Linked DNA regions of Oryctolagus cuniculus. The protein of the gene in region 2 interacts with the protein of the main gene of each other region in a biochemical or structural test. Links are inferred from orthologs where the notes say so. Each region holds a gene or a part of one and is shown on either strand. Other genes may lie near its edges. The genes, in order: CREBZF and ATF4.

Region 1 (3,516 bases), on a different chromosome or scaffold from region 2:
ACCTAAAAGGCATTCTTGAATATTTAAAAGATTTCTGTCATCTCCAGCAAAATAACTATTACATATGTGCATGCCCCAAATACTTATTTGTCAACCTCTGAAAAGTTGCATTAAAATTGGAATTCCAATTTGCACCTTGTACAACTCGGAACTTCCATTCAACTTCACCTGTTTCACTGTCTCCAAACTGTATCTCTATAAGCAGGTTTCAGTGTACAGTTGGAACCGATGTCATCCAAGGCCATGTCCACACTGGGGACAGAAGAGCTAGGTACACGCAAGTCTGAACAAGGGGACACATTAACAGCTATTTCAACCAGAAGAAGCATCTTAAATACATTATTGACCAGCACAAGTCTGTTTCCAGGGTGGACAGGGCCCAAATTAGATTCCCCTCCCACCTTCCAAAAAAGAAAAAACAAAAAGATCACACACACACAAATTGAGATGTTGCCCATTAAAGTAGACTAAGCAGCAGAGCATGAGCGTTACGTGAAGAGATGGATCCTTACCAGGTTGTGAGGCGGGAACGACTGTTCTGTAACCCCTACAACGGAGCCTGGCAGGAAGGAAATCACCTAAAAAAGAAACTGTCAGAGAGATTTAATAGTCACAGGTTATCATTAGGAGTTGGTTACAGTGTCACATTCATGCTTTTAGCTAAACACTTAAAGACTCAATATTACTTTTTTTCCTCCTCTGAAATGTGTCCAGTGAAGATGTCCCACTAAGGTGTTTTACATGGAGTAAGGGAGTTGAAAGGGGTAAACGCGGATAAAGAGCAGATTACTTGACCCTACATTTTAAGAGACGACGACGCCTTCCGAGCGCACGCCGAGCAGAACTCCACCGACACCTTATCCTTGTCCACATGAAGACACACTCCTCCCGCTGAGTCGTCCTCTTCCAGCACGTCCTGCTGCTGCTTTCCCACGGGCAACGCGTAGTCGTGGTCACCGGCGGGCGAGTCTCTGAAGAGCGAGGTGGTCAGCCGCAGTCCCACGCCGCTCAGCCGGCTCAGCAAGCGAGCCAGTCCAGTCTCGTTGGCCAAGACGGCCCGTAGGTAGCGACTCTCCTCCTGCAGTGCCTGCACGCGTTTGCTCAGCTCCCGATTCTCGGCCCGCAGCTCCTGGTTCTCGGCTGCCAGACCGCGGACTCGACTCTCCAGCCCCATCACGTACTCCTTCTTCTTCAGCCGATTTAGACGGGCAGCGGCCGCCGCCGCCTTCCGGGGACTCTTTGTCGCCGCCTGGGTGTTGTCGTTGCCGCCGCCGCCACCACTGCCGCCGCCGCCTCCGCCTCCCGGGGACTTTCTCCGCCTCTTTTCGCCGCCGCCACTGTCACTGCTGCTGCTGCAGCCTCCGATACCGTTTAACAGCCTCTGCAGTAGGTCGGAGAAGCGCTGCATCTCAGCGGCCGCGGCCTCGTCGTCGTCGTCCCCTCTCCAAAGGCCGCCGCTATCCGAGCCTCCGCCGGACGAGGAGAGAGGCCCAGGCGAGCTGAGCCCGGGCTCCAGGTGCCAGTCCGGCTGCCGAGGGTCCAGGAGATCCGCCAGTTCCAGCCCTGACAGAAAGTCCATGTCCTCGGTCTCTTCCCCGGGGACGCTGGCAATCGCTTCTTCCTCCATCTCCTCGGGGGAGGGCGCGCGGACGGCCAGGCCGCCGCGGCTCCCCCGCCCGGCCTCCAGCTCGTCAGCGTCGCCGTGCGGCTGCTGGCGGCCGGGAGATCCGGCCGCCGCCGTCTCCTCCTCCGCCGCTGCCGACGCTGCCGCCACCGCCGCCCGAGTCACGTCCGGGGGCAGCGAGCAGGTCGCAGCCGGCGCCGGGCTCTCGCTGCGGGTGGGGGAGTCGCTGCCCGACGCTGCCAGCAGCTTGGTCAGGCTATGCCTCATGGGGCCCAGCGACGGGCCAGCGTAGGCCCCGGCCCCTCAGACTGGGCCTCGCGGGCCCCAAAGGCCCCAGGCCCCAGCGCGGGCAGCCGGGGCGCCGGGCGAAATGAAATGGAAGGTAAATTTCAGTCGCCTGCCGCCTGGCTTGGCTGATGGACCCCCCGCACCGGTGCGGGGGCCAGGAACGGAAGATGGAAGCGGCGAGGCCCGGCGATGACTCGGCCGCGCCACCCAGACAACGGCCTGGACGGAAGTCGGTCCTCCTCCAACAGCCCCTCCCACCGCCTTTCGCGCGCCACCAAGCAGTGATATCGCGAGAGTTTAGGGTGCTTTGGAGTAGCAGTAATTCTGGTAATTTAGTGATGTCATAGTAACAGCGGCAAAATAAATAAATAAAACCCAGATTTTCACCCCGAAATCAATGTTACCCGATACCCAGACTCAAAACTTCAGCACTTTACAAGTAACATTTTCTTCTTATATGTAACTGTTCGTAAGCAATTATGTTGGTGCTGAATCATTCCCAAATTGCAGACAGAACGCCCCACCCTGCATATTCGTTTCGTATCTCTAAAAATACATTCTCTTTCGTAATCATAATGCAGGTATCAATTCCTGAGAAGAGTGCCATTCATTTACTAATATTATTAATATTCGGGACATATTCAGATGTCCTCAGTTTCAAAATAATCTTTTCTAGCAGATACTTTCTTCCGAGCTCAGATTCAAGCAGTCACTTATTGCATTTGGTTGTTTTAGGGTTTTATTTATTTTTTCCATTTCCACTTCTCAAACTACAACTGTTCCCTCCACACTCTACTTTTTCTTAACATTGGCTTTTTGAAGAGACGAGGTCAGTTATCTTGAACATTCTGGATGTGTCTTTTCATGTGTTATTCCTCTGGCCCCTCAAGGGATTTGAGATTTGAAACAGTATTTAATTATGCTATAATCCAGTGAAACAAAGCAATTCAAGTTTTCTTTAAAAATAAGACCAATGAAAGCATAGATGAAATAACCAGGTAAAGAATTCCAGCGGTGGAAAAGATTAATATTGAAGTAGTATGGATTCAATATCTTACATAGTTACCCAAGTTGAACTAAAAACAGATTAGGCTTCCTGGTAGTACAAATAAAAAGAGAGAAAACAAACTTTCCTTACTTTGTTCATAAATAAGGTGTGTATGAATTCTTTAATCACTTATCTACTTAATAGCTCTTACAGGTCTCTATGGGAGTCAATATTGTGGCAGTCTCAACAATAGCTGCTTTTATAGGACTGGTTTTTTTTAAACTAGGAATTACTTTAATCATTTTTATTAGAAAAAATTTCTGAGACACTAAAACTTCACAACAATTCAGAGGGGTTTTCAGGAGTTGGGGATCCTAAGTACTAGGAAGAAATGTTGGTATCCTGCTTCATTACGGATGGGTGGCATAGGTCATTAATGGGACACTTCTGGCGGCTAAGCCAATACCAAAACCCAGTGGAATGGTATTTCCTTCTAGAGTTAGTTTTCCTTCCTGCTGGCTCCCCTATGCCACAGAAACACCACTGTATAAAGCCGGAGCAACTAGCCGAGGCTCCAGTCTTCCTGTTGAGCAGGAAAGGGAAGGTCACTCCTGAG
Region 2 (4,036 bases):
TCCTAACACACGGGGGACCTCTGGGCGGCTCCCTGAGATTGAGACAAGGGAGACTCATGTGGAGGATTCGGGGAATCTGACAATGGGTCCCGGTCCCAGACTGTGGCTGTCCCTAACGGCTGGCCCAGAACAGCGGGGTCTGGCCCCCCAGCTCAGGGCCAGTGCTGGGGCATAGCAGGTGAAGCAGCCTGCAGTGCCAGAACCCCATGTGGGTGCCAGTTCGAATCCCAGCTGCTGCAGCTCTCTGCTGTGGTGAGTGCTTGGGCCCCTGCATCTGTCAGCTCCAGGCTTCTGCTGCAGCCCAGCCCTGGCTGCCGTGGCCATTGGGTGTGTGAGCCAGCAGATGGAGGACCGTCTCCAACTCTGCCTTCGAATAGACAGCTCTCCCATGATCTGTGTGTGTGCAGGCTGGAGCCAGTGACCACCCCCACACACACACACAGGAACACCGAACAAGGAAGTTGCAGCCACTCATGGAGTGAGTGCCCGCCCCAGACCAGATCCCACCATCCCGCGTGGGACTCTTGTTGCCCGCCCCACCACGCCCAGAGGGTGTGAGCCACAGGACAACTCCCAGGAATGCTTTCACTACAAAATAATTTATTAACAGCGGAGCCTCCTGTGCGTGCGCCCTAGGCGGGGACCCTCCTCCTGCCGCGGGCCGCCCGCACCTCCTCCAGCAGGTCCTTGAGGTACTGGATCTCCTTGGCCAGGCCGTCGGCCCTCTCCCGCAGGGCCGCGTTGCGCTCCTCCAGCCCCCGGCACTCGCCCGCCAGCGCCTCCTGCTCCGCCCGCTTCTTCTGCCGGTAGCGCGTGGCGGCCGTCTTGTTCTGCTCCATCTTCTTGAGCTTCTTCTCCAGCTTCTCGCCCTTCACGCGCGCCGCCGCGGCCGCCGCAGGCTCGTAGGGCTTGGGGCGGGCCGGGGCGGGGGGGCCCCTGTGCGGGGAGCCCCTGGGGGTGGGGGCGGAGGGGCTGCGCTGCGGGGAGCCCGGGCAGGACTCGGGGCTCATGCAGACGCCGCTGTCGTTGTCGGAGGGGCTGTCCTCCTCCTTGACGCCCTGCGGGACCACGGGGCCCAGGCCGGGCGACTCGGGCTTCCGGTCCCCGTCCGCGATGTCCACCTCGCTGCCCAGCTCCAAGCTGAACGACTCATCCGGGGAGGCGGCCGCGACCCCCAGCGACAGGGGCAGGGGCTGCAGGAAGGTGCAGGGGGCGACCTGCGGCAGGCTCGCGGGGAGGGGGCCGAGCGGGCTCCCTGCCTGGGGCGGCTCCTTGAGCGCGTCCAGGGCCAGGGGGGCGAAGAGGTCGCACGAGTCGTCCAGCGTGGCCAGCAGCTCGTCGGGCACGGCCTCCAGGTCGTCCAAGCTCAGCAGGGCGTCGAAGTCGAACTCCTTGAGGTCCACTTTCTCCAACATCCAGTCCGTCCCGGAGAAGGCGTCCTCTGCGGGGGCGCGAGCGAGGGCGCGTGAGGCCGGCGCCCCCCCCCCGACACGGGCGCCCCCTCCCACCCCCACCCCCCGCGGCGCTCACCCTTGCCGTCGGCGGGGGCGCCCAGCAGCCCGTCCGCCGCCAGCCATTCCGAGGAGCCCGCCGCAGCCTTGTCGCCGGGGGGCCCGGGAGGCTTCCAGGGCGTGGCCACCTCCAGGTAGTCGTCCAGGAGCCCCAGGCCCTCCTCAGCCCCCAAAGCCGCCTGGTCGAAGGGGGACGCCAAGTCCCCCGCCAACCCCGCGCTGTGCAGGAAGCTCATGTCGGCCGTGTCGCGGGGCTGCGCTGGAACCGGGGCAGGGGCTCAGCTCGAAGGTGTCTCTGTCCGTGACAGCAACGCTGCTGCTGGGTGCCGTGAGGAGCCTGCGGGCGAGCGGCAGGGGCGCCATCAGGGCGGGGGCCGGCCGGGCGGCAGGTGCACAGCGGCCATGGCCGCCCCCGCCGGGGCCGGCGCCCGGCCCGCCCGCCCGGCCCCGCCCCGTGACTCACCCCGCGCCGCCTCCCGCCGCCATCTTGGCCGCCGCCACGTTTCGCGGGGCGGCCACCGCGACCCCCGCCGGCGCAGAGCGGGGGCCGGGGCTCCGAGGACAGCGCGCCCCCACCTCCCCGGGGACGCGGGCGCCGGGCCGCGCTCTCCCGACCCCGCCCAAGGACACGCAAGCAGGAACCACGCGTCCCCGGCGCTCGTAAAACCGCTTCCGCCTCGGCGACGCGGCCCCGACCCCCGGCCGCAGGCCGCGCCCAAGCCCAGGCCCAGGCCCAGGGCCCGCAGACGCCGGGCCCCGGCCCCCTCGCCCGGCCCGGTACTCACGCCATGGCTTAAGCCGCTGGGGGTTGCCGCTGCAGAGCCTGGTGCTGCTGCCGCCGCTGCAAAGGCCAACGCTGCCGCAGGCACTGCTGCCTCTAATACGCCATGGTGGCCGCGGCCCTGCGGGACGGGAGGAGGAAGGGCACGGCTCGCAAGAGATCTACATCGACGGGCGGGCGCAGCGGTAATGGCGGCGGCGCGCGGCCCGCCGGGCTTTTATAGACTTGGTCGCCTCCGAGCCGCATCACAGGACGCATCCTTCCGCCGCGGCCATGTGACCCGCGCCTCCTGCCCACTCCCCGGCGTCCCCACCACTTTCCTCCCCCGAGCTTTTATGTCCGAGGCGTAGCCATGTACAGAAAAGTAGTTTACTTTCAAGATCTCACGTCGGGAAAAAGGCGCACTACTTTACAAGGCGTCCAAGATCAAAGAGTCTCGTCCTTTCCCCCTCGGATGCCCGGATGCGCGGAGGGATCTCTCTCAGGGGCGGGGCGTGAAGAGCCTTTCATTCCAAGGAGGCTTTTTATTGTGAAGGCCGAGGCCGCCCGGCTATCGCGCGAGACGCTGGCGGGGAGCGCGCGTCGAGATGATTGGCTCAGGCCTGAGGAGTCATATATACCTTGAGCTCCTATTGGCTCAGGGCCCGAGGGGGGCGGGCCACTCGGCGAAGGGGCCCGGGTCTGCGCGGGAAAGGGCGGGAGCGGCCTGGCGTGCAGCCGTGCCTTTGGTTGTAGCCTCGGCGGCCGCAGCGGTAGAAATCAGCGCCCAGCGGCCTCCGAGCGAGCCCGCCGCGAGCGGGCCCGGGCCTCGGGGCCGGGGAGCCTGCCGCCGTCCGGGGCCGGCTCTGCGTCCTCCCGCTGACCTCCGCGAGCCGCTGGCCAGCCTGCGTGTCCGCGGCGCCCTTTCTGCTGCAGGGCGTCGCTGCGGGGACGCCTCTGGCCTCTGCAGGCTCAGCCCCGCTGCGACCCCGGGTGGTTCCCACGAGCTCCGGACAAGGCCCGGTGGCCCTGCGGGGGACAGGAGTTCCCGGGGAGCCGGGCCCCGGCCCGCAGAGCTCCACTCCCGCGTCCCTTCCGCGAGCGCTGCTGGCTGGACAGACAACCTGCCCTGGGGCCAGGGCCACCCTTCCCAGGGTGCACGGGCAGCCCCGGCGCCCCCGTCTGTTGGCGGACACTGGCCGTGCTGGGGCCCGGCCCGCGCGCGGGACGCGCTCCCGCCACGCTAACTCGGGGTCCCCACTCCCGGCTACCCCTGTGGGGTCACTCTGCTTCCTCAGGGGGCTCCTCCCGGAACTGACCGGCGGCCGAGGCCTAGGGCGCGGCACTCTGCCCGGGGGTCAGGAGGAAGGCGGTGGGGGTGGGACTCCCGCGCCGCCACCGCGACCCCGCATCCATCCCGGGAGTCCCGCCCGCTCCCTGCTGATGCGCCCGGGAGAGCCGTGCTTGCGCCCCTGCGCCCACGTGGGCGACCCGGCGGAGTTCCAGCTCTTGGCCATCTGGGGAACGAACCAGATGGAAGAACTCCTAATTTTTGCCTTTCAAGTAAAGAAGCAAGTTTTTTAAACTTATTTGAGAGGTAAGAGTCACAGGGAGGCAGAGAGAGCTCCTCCATCCGCTGGTTCACTCCCCAGTTCAATGGCCGGAGCTCCGGGCCGCCCGCGGGGTGCAGAGCGCAAGGGCATCTTCTCCTGCTTTCCCAGGCCAGCGGCAGAGCAGCTGGGACACGAAGCGGTGCCACATGGGA

Evidence for each region.
Region 1: the proteins of ATF4 (region 2) and CREBZF form a complex in vitro, tested with the Homo sapiens proteins (2 studies listed by IntAct, with this or other methods). The link is inferred for Oryctolagus cuniculus from reciprocal best matches to the Homo sapiens genes ATF4 and CREBZF.

Annotation. Positions count from the first base shown.
Region 1 is NC_091432.1:76,750,677-76,754,192, forward strand, and holds CREBZF (CREB/ATF bZIP transcription factor), read right to left. Parts: upstream 2,045-3,516; 5' UTR 1,892-2,044; coding exon 797-1,891; 3' UTR 589-796; downstream 1-588.
Region 2 is NC_091442.1:115,754,680-115,758,715, reverse strand, and holds ATF4 (cyclic AMP-dependent transcription factor ATF-4), read right to left. Parts: upstream 2,501-4,036; 5' UTR 2,297-2,500; intron 1,849-2,296; 5' UTR 1,748-1,848; coding exon 1,531-1,747; intron 1,442-1,530; coding exon 633-1,441; 3' UTR 581-632; downstream 1-580. UniProt on the Homo sapiens protein: Transcription factor that binds the cAMP response element (CRE) (consensus: 5'-GTGACGT[AC][AG]-3') and displays two biological functions, as regulator of metabolic and redox processes under normal cellular conditions, and as master transcription factor during integrated stress response (ISR).